3 linked regions of the Arabidopsis thaliana genome follow. The protein of the gene in region 3 interacts with the protein of the main gene of each other region in a pairwise test. Each region holds a gene or a part of one and is shown on either strand. Other genes may lie near its edges.

What was found.
Region 1: the proteins of AT2G38250 (region 3) and AT1G24040 interact in binary tests that used the Arabidopsis thaliana proteins (3 or more experiments, as listed by UniProt).
Region 2: the proteins of AT2G38250 (region 3) and TDF1 interact in binary tests that used the Arabidopsis thaliana proteins (3 or more experiments, as listed by UniProt).

Annotation. Positions count from the first base shown.
Region 1 is NC_003070.9:8,502,569-8,509,147, reverse strand, and holds AT1G24040 (Acyl-CoA N-acyltransferases (NAT) superfamily protein), read left to right. Parts: upstream 1-2,352; 5' UTR 2,353-2,394; coding exon 2,395-3,354; 3' UTR 3,355-3,360; exon of another isoform or gene 3,361-3,456; 3' UTR 3,457-3,535; intron 3,536-3,687; exon of another isoform or gene 3,688-3,952; coding exon of another isoform or gene 3,953-4,192; intron 4,193-4,276; coding exon of another isoform or gene 4,277-4,417; intron 4,418-4,570; coding exon of another isoform or gene 4,571-4,720; intron 4,721-4,809; coding exon of another isoform or gene 4,810-4,973; intron 4,974-5,041; coding exon of another isoform or gene 5,042-5,240; 3' UTR 5,241-5,358; downstream 5,359-6,579. Other genes in the region: AT1G24050 (RNA-processing, Lsm domain-containing protein), read right to left, coding at 709-750, 882-1,005, 1,490-1,570, 1,666-1,831, 1,938-2,091; AT1G24030 (Protein kinase superfamily protein), read right to left, coding at 3,953-4,192, 4,295-4,417, 4,616-4,720, 4,810-4,973, 5,042-5,240, 5,359-5,546, 5,646-5,754. UniProt on the Arabidopsis thaliana protein: Protein acetyltransferase with dual specificity triggering both N-alpha-acetylation (NTA), with a large spectrum of modified N-termini, including methionine, alanine, serine and to a lower extent threonine and valine as substrates, and epsilon-lysine acetylation (KA).
Region 2 is NC_003074.8:10,673,522-10,678,109, reverse strand, and holds TDF1 (Duplicated homeodomain-like superfamily protein), read left to right. Parts: upstream 1-2,385; coding exon 2,386-2,518; intron 2,519-2,609; coding exon 2,610-2,739; intron 2,740-2,840; coding exon 2,841-3,531; 3' UTR 3,532-3,602; downstream 3,603-4,588. Other genes in the region: AT3G28480 (Oxoglutarate/iron-dependent oxygenase), read left to right, coding at 36-122, 208-265, 362-427, 745-807, 867-924, 1,028-1,203, 1,304-1,364, 1,543-1,844; AT3G28460 (methyltransferase), read left to right, coding at 3,813-3,966, 4,044-4,135, 4,217-4,315, 4,395-4,499, 4,573-4,588. UniProt on the Arabidopsis thaliana protein: Required for anther development and early tapetal function during microspore maturation. Regulates callose dissolution required for microspores release from the tetrads.
Region 3 is NC_003071.7:16,016,011-16,021,616, forward strand, and holds AT2G38250 (Homeodomain-like superfamily protein), read left to right. Parts: upstream 1-2,199; 5' UTR 2,200-2,373; coding exon 2,374-2,679; intron 2,680-2,926; coding exon 2,927-3,490; 3' UTR 3,491-4,146; downstream 4,147-5,606.

The sequences.
Region 1 (6,579 bases), on a different chromosome or scaffold from region 3:
TCTTAAAGCTTTGATTCAAATGATATCAAGCAACCTGAGTGATCATTGTTATATCTCCATCTCCTCATGCAAGCGCTTATCCAGAGTTAGCTTAGTCGTAACGTAAAATTTCATTCGCATGTAGCATCAATGTTGGTTTCTAATCAACAAGTTAGCTCACGCTTGATCACCCAAACGCAAAGTAGTTGTGTCCATAGTTGTATATGTTGTGTATCGAATAAGATGGTTTTATACATCACCACGGTCTATTATGATCATCATTGGAATCTATACACAGTTCAATACTAACAATCAACAGAAAAATATTTCTTATAACTTTTGCATTGATCAAGGAACTCAGTTCTAGAGCACACGAGATGTAAAAATCTACCGGAGAAGTCACTAAAAAGTAGTTCAACATTTCAGAATAGTTTACAGTTCCAGGCGATAAATAAACCAAGCCCTGGTAAAAAGTGGACAAGACAAGACCTCACTGTTCTTGTCAATAACCAGGGTGAAATTAGTCCAAATTTCAATCCCTGTAAGGCTGTAACTCAAGAAATCTCTAATCTGCTTTTACAAGGACAAGCAGATTCTAAGTAAAGACAACAACATGCGAAAAGCAAACATATCCGCTTTTCGCTGGTCGATCAGATCTATAGACGCCTTTCGGGTTAGTAGCAACGAACCCTTTCTCGCTATTTCACTGACCGACTCTTTTCACTAGCCTCATGTGCCAAAGAGTTGCAACCTTCGTCTTTCCAGCTCAAGCTGCGATAAAAGCAAAATTGCATTACTATCACACCCAAGGCTTGATCAACGTTACACGATTGAATGCAAATGACTAATATAACACCAGAGGCTTAATTGGCATTACACAATGAACTGAAAGTGACGCTTACCACTTTCTTGACTCGGTTGTTGGCAGCATCAGTTCCTCCAAAGACACAATCTGAAAGATACGGGCTACGAACGCGTACCTCTTTCATCACCAGAATGTCTGAGTTTTCCCATTGCACAGGAAGCCTAAAAGGAAAATAATTCACATGTGATTCATTCGAAAGAGAAAAAGCAAATTCAAACAAAGAAAGTTTAAGGATTTATGTAGTCTAAAACTATGTATCTAGACAGCTTCTTAACTGTATCAGTATCACAAAGAAGACTAAAGATACTTGACACTAGAGCCCACAACATATGTAATCTACAACAACCACAAACATAGAAACTTTACATATATATAGTTGCAAACTAGCATCACCGGAAACCAAGAGCAAAACAACACTAAATCATGTCCAGATCCTAACAATTTATCTTTGGGAATAACACATTAGACGCACAAAACAAAATCCTCCAACCCAAGCAATTGTTTACAAAGAACTAATAGTTCAACTAAACAACATTAGATTACGATCTCGTCCCACCTCTCTACCGTATACTCTAAGCTGTGTTTCCTTCTTAGAGATTAGCTTATTTTTCGATCCGAAAACGTATAAAAAGAGAAGATCCTTACGTCTTAGACAACGCGTCGAAGATGCTCTGAGCCTCAGCGGTAACACCAACTCCCATTCTTTCAGCATCTGCTTCCGCTTGCCTGTGCTCAATACGTTTTCCCAAGTAAGCTCAAAACAAGCAAATAGCAATAAAAATTGCATTTTGAAAGGATTCAACAACAAAATATCTTATCACCTGATAGCAAGTGCCTCTTTAGCTCGGAGACCATTAAGATCAACAGAAAAGTTGTCTGAATCAAGTGGATCTTCAGTTTTGCCTAAATACGAAAGCCCTGTAATAAAACTCGCATTCACCATCCGAGTGTTCTTCAAATGCCCAGGTCTAGGTTTTGTACCCTCTTGTAATAACCAATAACTCGTCAAGGATAACACAATTCAGGTCAAGACATTGAAAATACCTAAATCTCAAATTTTGATGAAACAAACAATTAAAGAAATTAAGGATATCAAAAAAGACGAAGTTGGGGATGGGGTCGTAAGCCATGACGATCCCTCTGAACTCATCTCCGGTGATCACCTTCACTGAATAAATATTCCCCACCGCGAATTTCTCTCCTTCTCCTCCGATTGCGCTGGCCACCGATGCTCCTGCTGGATCCATGGCGGCCGTCCTCGCTCCTCCTCCGTCTTCTGAAATCGCCGAACTTCGGAAAAATTAAAACTATATATATCGCAATATGGGCCTTAAGCCCAAATAGCTACTGGCTTATAACAGTTTCCTCATTTTTATATCAGTATATGGGCCATAAGGGCCCAATAACTACTGAGCTTCATGATTAGTTCAAAACGCGGCGTTTTAAAGATTAGTGTATGACTGTTACTTTATCCATTTTATTTCGTTATAAACAGATTAGCGAACACTGAACCACAATCAAATCGGAGAAAATCGTGTGTGTGTGTGTCAATGGCGGCTTTAAGCATCTCACTAGCTTTCTCTGTTGATTCTCTCAAACCAACCCAATCAACGAAGTTTGGCTTCTCGTCTTCTTCACATAGATATCCATTACTCTACTCGTGTAAATCTCACCGCTCCAATCTCAGATTCGCTTTCCCTCCTTCTTCAGTTTCGACAGCTACAGAAACTGGAGAAGAAAACTCTAAATCGACCGGGAATTACGCGTTTCTAGAGGAATCGTTTCGTACCGGGAGGTTTTTGAGTAACGATGAGTTAGAGAAGCTTAAAACTCTTGAAGGATTTGCGTATTTTCAAGAGCTTGAATCTGGATCGATGTGGGTTCGAGTTATGAGACATGAAGAGATGGATTCAACGGTGCATCTATTGGCTGAGTCATTTGGTGAATCGATGTTATTACCTTCTGGTTATCAGTCTGTGTTACGGTTTTTGATTAAGCAGTATTTGATTGAGAGAAGAGAAGTGTTGCCACACGCAGTTACTTTAGTTGGTTTCTTTAGGAAAAAAGTTGATGAGTTTAGTGATGATGGAGAGGAGGAGGCTGTGATGGCTGGAACTGTTGAGGTTTGTTTGGAGAAACGAGGCGCTAATGCTTCTCCTCCTTCTCCAACTCCTCCTAAGGAATCACCTTATATCTGTAACATGACTGTCAAAGAGGATCTTAGAAGGAGAGGAATTGGGTGGCATTTGTTGAAGGCGAGTGAGGAACTGATATCTCAGATTAGTCCATCAAAAGATGTATACTTGCATTGTAGGATGGTTGATGAGGCTCCTTTCAATATGTACAAGAAGGCAGGATACGAGGTTGTTAAGACAGATACAGTTTTGGTCCTTCTGATGTTACAGCGGCGTAAGCATTTGATGCGGAAGAAACTTCTTCCACTATGCACCAATCCTATAGTAGAAATGGTGGGGTCTGATAATGAGCTGACCTCCTCTGCAAATGTGTAAACATGGGTACAGTTTTTCCATCAGTGTACCAATTAGCTTTTAGTCTTCTTCTCAACCTTTTCTGAATTTATAACAAACATTGTGATTGGCTTTATTATGTAGGAGCTAAATGTGACATGACCAAGGGTCGGGTTGATAATCCCGTTTGCTTCGACCTATTGTTTATATGATCTTAGTAGAGGTACTCCACACACACTCTTATCTTTGTTATCTGCTTCCTGTATTGGCAGCGATTGTATTTCTTGTTCATAGACATGTGGTTAATTCTTTAGGCATTAGGCGAAAGAAGGAAAGAAAAAACAAGACTACACCCCTGAATTTATGTACTCATTTCTCTTAAAGCAAAACATTCATAGCAGCAAATACAACATACTATACGGATACATCTAGTGCTTGATTTTCTTAGTGAAATTATAGTATATATATCCAAATAATATCGCTTGATCAAAGTTTCCTAGCTGGAAGTTGAATTGAAATTATCCGGTAATTCATAATTAGTATTGTTTGTTTATATTTATCAAGTGTTTTTTTATCAGTGACCTCTCATTTTAGGAAAAATGACAGTAATCCATTTTACTTGTTTCGAAGAATTCAGTGTCTAGAGCCTTCTGAATGTAGGAATCGTCCCACCCAAACCACCCTTCGAGTTTGTGTAGATAATTAGTTGCAGTTCCTTAACACAATCCATCACTGAAGGTCGCTCTTTACTCTCTATACGGATGCACCGTGATGCTAGATCAGCAAACATGGTTATAGCTTCCATGCTGTATGAATTCCGAGGCAGCTCGACATCTATAACCTTACGCAATTTCTTTCTATCATTCAGTATATTCCTAACCTGAAACGTAGAGATAATTGATCAGTTTATTCCTATGTTAAGTTTCCTGATCTTTGAACTTTTTGTGTTTGTGAATCATAGAACCTAAAAGGTCCATTTTACCTGTAGCACCAGGTTCTGTTCATTTGGGCCCTGAGTTAAGTCAACTGCTCTGCGTCCAGTAAGTAGTTCTAGCAGCACAACCCCAAATGCATAAATGTCGCTTTGTAGAGTAAGTTTACCTGTCTGCCACAGAAGAAGGGAACAAAAATTATGCTAAAAATTGTCCTCCGTTGCCTATTGGCTCTGATATGTGAGTGTGATTAAAGTTCCTTTTCCAGGCTATTTTATGTCATTACTAGCAAGTTTTAATTTTTCTTAAGTAGTGTCTAGTTTACCCTATCGGAAGAGAATCATGTGTGAAATATAAGTAAGAATCTTTACCGATGTATATTCTGGGTCGAAATAGCCGAATGTTCCTAGAACTCTTGCTGTGACACAAGTATCCTTTCCTTCTGGCATCAACTTTGCTAGTCCAAAGTCGGATATCTGCAAGGATTACACTCACATCTTAGTTTTAGTCTATGCTTGGTATTAGTGCTGCATAAACCCTCCATTTCTATTAACTGTATAAGAACCTTTGCATTATAATTGGAGTCTAGTAGAACGTTGGTGGATTTGAAGTCTCTGTGAACAATTGGAATCCCAACAGAAGAACTTGAATGGAGATACGCGAGTCCTTTTGCTGCTCCTAGTGCAATTCTGAGCCTTATTGGCCAGCTTATTTTTGCTTCTTTGATTCCTGTGATAAAGACGCGGTTTAGTCGCCAATTGGTTTTAGTGGATTGGGCTCTTATTTTGTTGACTTACCATTCAAATGATCTTGCAGGTTTCCATTTTGCATATATTCATATACTAGGAACCGGTGTTTCCCATCTGCACAATAGCCGATCAAAGAGACCAGATTTGGGTGGTCGAGTCTGCTCAAGATATCCACCTCCACACGAAATTCTCTTTCTCCGTCAGCCTTTTTAAACGTAGGTAAATCCATCTTCTTGATTGCAACAACCTTCAAATAACAAGGGATTAAGATATGTATCCTACTCTAATAGCTCCTCTTCGATAGAAAAGTTTTTGTAACATTACAAAGCCTGTAAATCACATAAATGAAGCTATATAGTTCCTACCTCTCCTGTTTTTAAAGTGCCTTGGTAAACTCGGCCAAAGCCTCCTTTACCGAGGAGATTCTCATCACTGAAAGAACTTGTGGCCTCCTCCATCTCCTTGAGGGTATAAACTGATGACCCGAATCTTCGCTTCCTTGGCTGAGAAGCCTGATCTTCGATTTGCCAGCATTCTGCTGTTCTGTAGACCCCTGAGAAGAAGGTTAGTTTCAAACAGATGGTGATTCAGTTTTACCTAAACCCTTTATATTCAGTAGTAGTAATGTCGAAAAACAAAAACAGTAACATACTTTTATGCCATCTGGCGAAGATGATGGAGAAAAGGAACGTACATGGATCCGTATCATATGATTTGCTTCTCCTTCTCTTGTTCCAAGCCGAAACAAGTGGAAAATGCATAGCTTTAGTTTGGATTTGGTTTTTTCTTATCCTTTGTAGACCATTACAAAGCCGATAGAAGAAGCTTCTGGTCTCGTCCTTAAGACAGAAGGGTATGTGTCTTTCTAGTCGTGAAGATGTTCTTTGTAGTTAGTTGCTTCCAAAGAAACAGAAGATTGTTGTGGTTGAAGATGATAAATATAGAGTGCAATAAAGTTAATTGATTTTGAGGGTTAGGTTTCTGAAATACTCAACAGCAGTATTTCAACTACCGAAAGTTCAAGAGAGAGAGAAAGAGACGGTAGAGCTGAAGAATACGTAGATTACATGTACGTGAAGCAAAAGAAATTGAGAGCCATCTTGAGAAAGTAAAGACTTGATGTTTCCTTAACTTTTCTAAGCTCAAATTCTCGGTTTGGTTCTCTTGTCTGAATCTATCTCCTTCTAACCAGTTTGTGTACGTACGTATCTCTGTCGATCAAATAGAGATGGGAAGCTGCTTTCAGAGTGTTTCCTTACCCTTTTCGTCTCAACTTTTTTCTCTAGACTTCTATATTACTATTTACTAATGTTGTTTTCATAGTTCGTTGAGAGAGAGATTATAAAAGTTAAACTTTATAAGTGGAGAAAACCTATAATTTTCTTAAAGCAATCTTAGTTTTTTTTAATAAGATTGACAAATCCTAGGATACTGTAACTTTAACGTATCCAATTGTATATTAAGGATTTGGGTTCGGATGAACTTTTGCTTCGAATAGAAATGATGACTCATTCTTAGAACATTTTTATTTTACGATTGAAGAGTGGTTGTCGTTTTATATCAATGGAAACCAACATGCTGTTTTC
Region 2 (4,588 bases), on a different chromosome or scaffold from region 3:
TTTTGGTTTTGACTGAGAAATTTAATCTTTTGCAGAGATGGGTCAGTGATAAAGATGAAAACAAGTGCTTCTTCTTTTGGGTTTGATCCAACTCGTGTCACTCAACTCTCTTGGACTCCTAGGTTTGTTTGCTTTTGTGTTTGTTATCTGAAATTTTGAATCTTTGTTTTTGTTTATTTGATTTTTTTGTGTTTTTTTTTTTTGCAGAGTTTTTTTGTATGAAGGGTTTCTTTCTGATGAGGAATGTGATCATTTTATCAAATTGGTATTGAATCTTAAACATCTTTACTTAAGCTTTTTAAGTAGTGATGATGATGATGATGAAAGAATGTTTTTGTGATTGTGATATTTGTTTTTTTAGGCGAAAGGGAAGCTTGAGAAGTCAATGGTGGCTGATAATGATTCTGGTGAGAGTGTTGAGAGTGAAGTACGCACTAGTTCTGGAATGTTTCTCTCCAAACGACAGGTTAGTTAATATTCTGAACATGTAGGCATCTATAGAAATTTATGTTGGCTATATCGTAGAACTTTGCAATGACTTGTTAGAAGCGGTGGTTTTGTATCTGGATTGATTTGGATGTTGAGTTTCGTGCTAATCATTGGAGAATGATTGTTATTATGAGGTCTAATGTGGCTTTTGTGTGCGTTGTACTCCGTTAGATTACTTCAGCAATTAGGCAGACTAGTTCTATGTTACTGATCAACGCTTGACCAAGTAAACATGCATTTCCTGCAATACTGTAGGATTCTGTTTCTGTGGTTAGACAAAGTAGCAGCTTCATTGCAAATATGGATAGTCTAGAGATTGTGTGATTCACTGATTGTTAACCTTTGAGTTTGAATGGTATGGTTCTATGTATGTGTAGGATGATATAGTAAGTAATGTGGAGGCAAAACTTGCTGCGTGGACCTTTCTTCCCGAAGGTATTTTTGGCCATATGTACATAGATTTCCTAATTCTGTCTCTTTGTTTAGACTTTAGTTGCTTACAACTTCTCATCTCTTTTTTGTCTGTGTTGCGGATCAGAGAATGGTGAATCCATGCAAATATTGCATTATGAGAATGGTCAAAAGTATGAACCGCATTTTGACTACTTTCACGACCAGGCTAATCTAGAGCTCGGTGGTCATCGGATTGCCACAGTATTGATGTACTTGTCCAATGTTGAAAAGGGAGGAGAAACAGTGTTTCCCATGTGGAAGGTAAAGACATATATTACTTCTGGTTCCTTAAATTTTCATCTAATATTTCGATTTCGTTTCCTGAGTAGCCTCATTTCAGTTTGATCACACATTCTTGTAGGGTAAAGCAACTCAGTTGAAAGACGATAGCTGGACCGAATGTGCAAAACAAGGCTATGCAGGTAAGATCACTGTATATAGCTTGCTTGATATAGAATACTGTATCCTGAACATGCGTTTGGCTTAATTGTGAAAGCTCAACACAAATGGGGATTGTAGTAGTTTGATTAAATGATAATGAAAGGTATAACTATTTTTCCAAATGGTATATTGCTCTATCTGATTTATGTATCTTTGCAGTGAAACCGAGGAAAGGGGATGCATTACTGTTCTTCAATCTTCACCCAAATGCAACCACAGATTCAAATAGCTTACATGGAAGCTGTCCAGTGGTTGAGGGAGAGAAATGGTCAGCAACCAGATGGATTCACGTTAAGTCATTCGAAAGAGCGTTTAATAAGCAATCTGGATGTATGGACGAGAATGTGAGCTGCGAAAAATGGGCAAAGGCAGGGGAATGCCAGAAGAATCCAACATACATGGTTGGTTCAGACAAAGACCATGGATATTGCAGAAAGAGTTGCAAAGCTTGCTCATCTTAAGAACAACAAGTAAAATCAAAGCTCTTATTAAAGGATCAAAATTTTTGTATAGCGAAAAACCGGGTTTTCGCCATTCGGGTAGATAAACATATCGTCAATAGAATGAAAAATTTAGAACTATATACTAAAAAAATAATTCTGATTCTATGTTACTGGTTTCATGTGCAAGTTATGTTCCTTATGGTTCATAACTAGACCAAAACTTAATAAAAGTCGGTTTATGTTATCATCAACCTGAAGCAAGCGATACATGATAACTGAATTAAGTATTATACAATCAGTAGTAGTGTACATGAGATGATAGTTGCCAAAACTACGTCATGCACTTCGAGACTCTATATTTCTAATGAAGTGTAACAATCATGCAATTACCGTTAATTAGGAGCCTTCAAGCATGAGATCCTCACCTTCTCTCTCTTTCTCTCTCAGAGCTTTTGCATTGCATCACTCTATTTCCATAAAGCCTTTGTTGTTGTCCTTTCAGACATTTCTCAGCTTCTTCTTCTTCTTCATCTTCTCTCTTGTGTTTGAATACCAAAAAATGGGAAGACCTCCTTGTTGTGACAAGTCCAATGTCAAGAAAGGTCTCTGGACCGAGGAAGAAGACGCTAAGATCCTTGCTTATGTTGCTATCCATGGTGTAGGAAACTGGAGCTTGATCCCCAAAAAAGCAGGTTTTTCCAAAAAAAAACTCTCTCATTTCTCTTAACTCTTAAGAAATCTCATTTCAAACAAGTCTGAGTTATTTTTCGTTCTTCGGCGCAGGTCTGAATCGATGTGGAAAGAGCTGTAGACTAAGATGGACTAATTACTTAAGACCTGACCTTAAACATGACAGCTTCTCTACCCAAGAAGAAGAGCTTATCATTGAGTGTCATAGAGCCATTGGCAGCAGGTAATGAAGCAACCTAATTGCTAACTAACTTTTTAACAATGACAAGAATCTATCAAACTTTTTATCTCATTAGTAATAATTGTAACCTCTGATGTTTTCAGGTGGTCTTCCATTGCACGAAAGCTTCCAGGAAGAACGGATAATGATGTGAAGAATCACTGGAACACAAAGCTGAAGAAGAAGCTGATGAAAATGGGGATAGACCCGGTGACTCATAAACCGGTTTCTCAACTCCTTGCAGAATTCAGAAACATTAGCGGCCATGGAAATGCATCCTTCAAAACAGAACCATCTAACAACTCTATACTCACACAATCCAACTCAGCTTGGGAAATGATGAGAAACACAACAACAAACCATGAGAGTTATTACACCAACTCTCCAATGATGTTTACAAATTCCTCTGAGTACCAAACTACTCCATTTCATTTCTATAGCCATCCAAATCATCTGCTCAATGGAACCACATCTTCATGCTCTTCCTCATCATCTTCTACTAGTATCACTCAGCCAAACCAAGTACCTCAAACACCGGTTACTAACTTCTACTGGAGCGATTTCCTTCTCTCGGACCCGGTTCCTCAAGTAGTGGGATCCTCAGCTACTAGCGACCTCACTTTTACGCAGAACGAACATCATTTCAACATCGAAGCCGAATACATCTCTCAAAACATCGATTCAAAGGCCTCGGGAACATGTCATTCCGCGAGTTCCTTCGTTGACGAAATACTAGATAAAGACCAAGAGATGTTGTCACAGTTTCCTCAACTCTTGAATGATTTCGATTATTAGATCCCTTCTTTTCCCTATTGTTGTTACTTCTCTTGTAACTGGTTTATGATTTTCAAGAACTATGTTTTTTCAATAAGTTATATCTCTTCTCTTATTAGTACTTACTTAGTACTTAAGTAGTAACCAAGTCTCTTGAAATACAAAGCTCAAAATTAAACACCTTTTGATACAGAAATAGATCCTCTGGCTCTGGAAGAAGGTTTTAACTCTATTTCTATCATTCGTCTTCTCTGCAGACGATTTCTCTCTGCAAGCTCCCAAAGTCGAAAACTTTATCAGCAATGGCGGTTTTGTTGTCATCTTTCTCTCCACTAGGAATCAACATTGACATGAATAAGAATCTGGGTGTTTCGTATTCTTCTTTCCCTCAAATTCATCTCTTTAAGGGTTCTACTCCACTGCGTGTTCGAACATTCGTCGTCTCGAGTCGTAAAAGTGTGAAATTTTGCATCTTTCACAGAATCATTCATAAAGTTCTGTCTTTTCTCAGTTTATGTCTTGTGGGTTTTCAGATTCAGGAACTGGTTTGGCAAGTGAGGATAAGAAATTGTTGCTGGAACGATATGGTTATGATGCTAATGATGACTTTGGGTCTCAATCTAAGGTCTGTTTTTTTTTTCCATAATTGTTTTTTTTTGGTTTGTGATGAATAGTTGAGAGATGAAACTTTTAGTTCTCATTGTAGAAGGCGAGAAGGAAAGAAGAGAAAATGAGTGGAAGGAATAGTCAACAAGTAGAAGAAGTTGTTGTTGTACAGCCAAGAACAACTCATAGGTTACTGCAGGTGTGTATTTGCTTATTTTATTGTGTTTTGCTTTGGGGGTTACTGTTGTTGGATATCTATAATGTGTAGATTGTTTTAGGTTCTTGCAGGAACGGCGAAACGAAAGAAATTGCTTTCTCTTAAGGGAATGGATGTGAGACCTATGATGGAAGTTGTTAAAGGAGCAGCTTTTGGAATTCTCCAGGTAAGAGTAACTAATTTTAGGAGCTTCTGCGTTTGTTGGTGTCTGAGTTAACATGATTCTTCTCATTATTTAGGCTGCTGGTGGTTGTC
Region 3 (5,606 bases):
AAAAAAATGGAAACATAATGAAACAAAATTCTCAAATACATATTTTTATTTAAAAAGTTTCTCAAAATTTTAGCTTTTAAGTGGCAGAAAATAGTTTTTTTTTTTTTTATAGATAAAGTGAAAAATCTAAAATGGCAAAATCAACAATAATCCAAAACAACAAAATCAACAAATCTAAAAAACTCGTTGATTGTTTTGAAGACAACAGCTATGTGGTGAAGAAAAAATGAAGAAAAACCAAAATCGACATGTGGGCTACTGTGTAAGATGCATTCATTTACAGCTACCAAACGCACACGTGACAATTTTTTTTTTTTTTTTTTTTTTGTTTGTATATATTATATAAATTTAAATACAATCGAAAACAAAAATTCTTCGTTAAACTCTTTTCAATGCTGTATTTGAAGCTTCCTATTTTTATTATTAAAAATATGTTGTTTCTAAAAAATATATATATATATATATATAAAAATTCTTTTCTTGACTCTACAAAATTTTTGTTTGCTAACAATTTTACCTTCACTGTTTACTATACAAAAAATCTCTGTTTTAGTGAATAATATATGCAACTAAGTTTTTCGCAATAAAAATACAATAAAAAAATTGTAGCTAGCTATAGTCTGGTCACAAACCATAGGAAATGTAGCCTCTAAAAATAAAATCAATAACAAATTTGTACTGATCTTTTTATATCGACATAAATTTGGTGAAAGTCCAAATAACATGTTTTTCGTACCATAATCAACCAAGTGGTGTTCCTTCAACAGATACATAAAACGAGGCAAAATAAAAGTGAACGAGGCAGACAAAGAATTTTCCAAACCTCATTTAAGGGACTAGGTTGACTTTAGTCCTTTACTTTAGAAGAGAGTTGCAGTTTTCATCTATTGTAGGGGTTACACAAAATTTGTTCTTATGTGAGTCCAATTGCCAAATTGTACATCACTCGAAGACAAATTGGGCCCAAACTGTGTAGAATGGGTTTGGGCTGCCAACCCATAATAAACCTTAAGTTGAAAATGAATTAGTTTGGCACATGCTTTTTTTTGTCATGTTCATGCTTTTAAAAAAATTCAAAATTGGCCTAACAAGTTTCACATCTCTAGAATGTTGTTCCTAGCTGGCTAGTTCCACGCACGTGTCACACTATAATTTGTCATTTCGTGAATGAAGAAATCATTCCAACACTTTTGTTATTTTGATAACCATACAAGGAATAACACGTGAAGGAATTTAGGAAACGAGAGATTCTAGAGAAGTCACCTAGTTTTGTATTTAAAAAAGGTGCTCAAAATTAGAAAAATATCGAATTTTGTTGAAAAAGGGAAAAATAAACAAAGACAAAGTAGTAAATAGAAACTTGGGCATGAAGCTAAGGATATGACTGGTCGCCGAGAATTAATAACCACACAGTATTATTACAAAAAGTATACAAACCGAAACTTCTCGCGGTGATGATGAAACCTCAACGCAATGTTATCGTCACATCAATTTGATTCCTCATTATAGTATGAATGAAAAAGCAGATTAAACAGAAAATACATAAAGAGCTCTATAACTCAATAGGAAATATTTACCACTCACCTATGTTTTTCTTACACTTTCACTCTAATTTATTTTGACAAAAGAAAAATTGTATTATATTATTTAAAGACTTGACTTTCTCTTTAATATTTTACTGTTTTTTATATTTAAAGCAATATAAAAAATTATCATCATTTTAATTAAATTTATTATCCCTACCATTTTACCAAACCAACTCAGTAATAAACTCATTTCATACACATATTTGACAAATATGTCGACTGTCAGAATCTAGAATACTATTTGTCAAATGAAAGTGATTACATTATGAGATAACGATAGAAATATCCACATCTCTCCTGATCACCAGTCAACATATCTTTTATTAACGAATTGACTGGTAGTTTAAGACGCTAATTATCCTTTGCTCTATAATACCATTTCAATCGATATTTTAACTAATTATATACTATTAGAAATGAAATGACAAATCTGCCGAAAGCTTTTTTCTTTTTAATATTTTGTCAAAAGAAGACACACAAAAAAAAAGTAAATTGTATTAGAAAAAATCCAAGACAGAGAAAAAAGTAAACGCGTAGACAGATGGCGACAGGAGAAAGAGAGAGTGGAGAAGAAGAAAAGAATTGCGATCAAAGAAAATTAGACTTCTTTCTTCCAACGTTTTCACATTACAAATACACAAAAACCAAAAGATAAAGAAAAACAAGAAATATTTTGTTTTTCGATCTGAAAAAGTGAAAGCTTCTTCAAAATCTTTGCTTTAGAGATCGTTTGGTGATTTTTTTTCTTTATTTTTTTTTTATAGTTTCTTCTTCTTGATTCTTTCATATGGATGGACATCAGCATCATCACCTTCACCAGCTTCAATATCTCAACAAGCATCATCTTCATACTCAATCGCAAACGCCGGAAATAGCCTCTCCGGTAGCTGTTGGGGATAGGTTTCCACAGTGGAGCGTCGAAGAGACAAAAGAGTTGATAGGGATAAGAGGAGAGCTAGATCAAACTTTCATGGAGACAAAACGGAACAAGCTTCTTTGGGAAGTTATCTCTAACAAGATGAGAGACAAAAGCTTTCCTCGTAGCCCTGAACAGTGCAAGTGCAAGTGGAAGAACCTCGTCACTCGTTTTAAGGTCTATTCTCTCTCTCCCTCTTCTTTCATTTTGTGGATGTTTTATAATCTTGGAGGTCTTGCATGGAACAAATAAATAAATAAAAATTTGTAACCAAGAAATATTGAATCTTATAGTCCATAATCTTTCCGGGACATATAGACAAACACCATTGTAAATATTTCTGAATCTTGTTGTCCATAATCTGCTAAGTAGTTTAATTATATGTATACAATCTCATTGGTGATGTATTGCTTGATGTTTCTAGGGATGTGAGACAATGGAGGCAGAGACAGCGAGACAACAGTTCCCTTTTTATGATGATATGCAAAATATATTTACCACTAGAATGCAGAGAATGCTATGGGCTGAATCCGAGGGAGGAGGAGGGGGAACAAGCGGGGCAGCGAGAAAGAGAGAGTATTCTTCAGATGAGGAAGAAGAGAATGTGAATGAAGAGCTAGTAGATGTCAGCAACGACCCAAAAATTCTAAATCCGAAAAAGAACATTGCAAAGAAGCGAAAAGGCGGTAGTAATAGTAGTAATAGCAATAATGGTGTAAGAGAAGTGTTGGAAGAGTTTATGAGACATCAAGTGAGAATGGAGAGCGAGTGGAGAGAAGGATGGGAGGCTAGGGAGAAGGAAAGAGCAGAGAAAGAAGAAGAATGGAGAAGGAAGATGGAGGAGCTTGAGAAGGAGAGGTTGGCAATGGAGCGGATGTGGCGGGATAGAGAGGAGCAACGGCGGTCGAGGGAGGAGATGAGAGCAGAGAAGAGGGATTCACTTATCAATGCATTGCTTGCTAAGCTTACTAGAGATGGTTCCCTCTAATCTTTTGTCAGCTTTGCTTAACCTAAATTAACTTGTTCTTATATGCTTGTTTGGGGTGTAGTGTAGGTACAATTATTTGGTGGGGGAAGATAATATCTACGGCAAATCTCAACACTCATATATTGATTGATATGATGACATATTTGAGTTTTAGTGAGGCTTTAGTAATTTATCATCCCCACATTATTTCTTCCTAGTTTATATTTTGGCGAGCCAAATTCTTATAGCATATCATTTAATCTTAGTAGTATACTGGTTTTAATTAGTAATTTGTAGGACCGTATGTGTAGTATTTTAGAGTAATTTGGATTTTGTTAGAGTTAACCTACAAATCCATATATAGTGCAGCGAATGTAATATCGGTTTCAAATATTATCTTCATGCAGAAGAGAACGAGGATACTAATAGTTTATGGTATTATGAACTAATTAACTTTGATGAGAATGTAGAGATCAAGAGGGCAAAACAGTTAGTGGAAATATTAAACATGCTCGAAACAAGAATGAAAACTTATCCTATGAATTATGGGATCATTTAGGTCCATTGTCTGCGATCTAAACTTTTATTATTTTACCATAAATGTTTTCTTGTAACATTGAGAATCATATCTAACATGGCAAGATAATACGTGAATGCGTATGGCGTTTCTTATCCACATAAATTTGTTTTACTTATGTTTTTTTTTTGTTTTCCACATAAAGATTAGTAAAGATCTTGTATTATTTTATTTGTAAATTTATATTTATATAATTATATACTAAGGAGATGCTTAATGAATAAAATACACATCACATGTTAATTCTAGAAAATACGTTAACCAGTTTTTTTTTGGTAACATTGTTGTTTCTTTATTTATTTACTAGCTATGAACTCATGCGTGGATTTATTTGTAAAAAATTTAACAGTTTTTTGTGTGACTAAAATATTTTATTGAAAATTTTGAAAATATGATTTTATATATCTATTTGTTGTTAATATTATAAACTCTTTGAATTTTAAAATTATCATGACAAATAGTAACAATTTAAATACATAACTAGAAATAACCTTTATACAACTCTTAGATTTTACAACATTTAGCAAAAGAACATTTTTTTGGTTAATGACTCTCTCTTTAGCTTTAGATATTTAGGATAACGACGTCTTTTTTTACGTATTAAATAAATTGTTGTATAGGAAATAGATTCGACGATTCTCATTTTGGTACCCGCAAATTTACTATTGTTTTTCGTTTATCTTCGCTGCATTAGTTAGTATAGCTCTTCTAAAAATAAGATATTTTGTAGAAATATATTCGTAAGTTTATCTACACTTTCTTTTAACAACTCATATTTTTCTCACATTCTTTTCAATATGTATATGAATTTCTTTCACAATTTTTTTTACAGAGAGCTATGACTCTCCCTATCTTTTTGCAAAAACTCGTTTTATTTGTTTCATTTTTTCTTACAGTGTCTCTTTCATCCTCTTATGATTTTGTCTAAGCAATATGTGCCATACCTTCTTAAATTTTCACATGCTCCATATTTCTTCTTCGAAAATCTCTTCCTTTTCTTGTTAGTATAAGCATTTTTCAATCTCGTCAAGATGTACTCTGTTTTGTTTTCTGTTATTCTAAGAAAACGTTTTAGCTTCTAAATTGATACTTAACTCTATCACTTCTCCTTTTTGATGCAGTTTAGATCCTCTTCACCTTCACGCTTCCCAGACTGAAAGACCTTAGTTTATATCTTCGAGAACTTGATTCAAATTGATACGATTAAAAACACCACCATCAAACCACGTCCTTGTTACGTTTCTTTAAATTATATTAAAATGTTGGATTACTTGTATAAGATCTTATAAGGTTTGGGTTTAATATTACATAATTATAATTCTATAGCTTCTTTTTTTTTATAAGTTTAAATTTAATATTTGTTATTTTCCTTTTCTATTTTAAATTTTAAAATAGAAAGTAATTACTATTTTCAAAATTGTTAACTAATTAGATACTAAATATGTTAATTAATGACATGTTTAACGCGGATTGGTCGTTCTAAATCCTATGTAGACGCCTTTAGAAGCAAATAGTTTCAACATTTATATAGTATAGATTTATTTGACATTACTTTCTCAT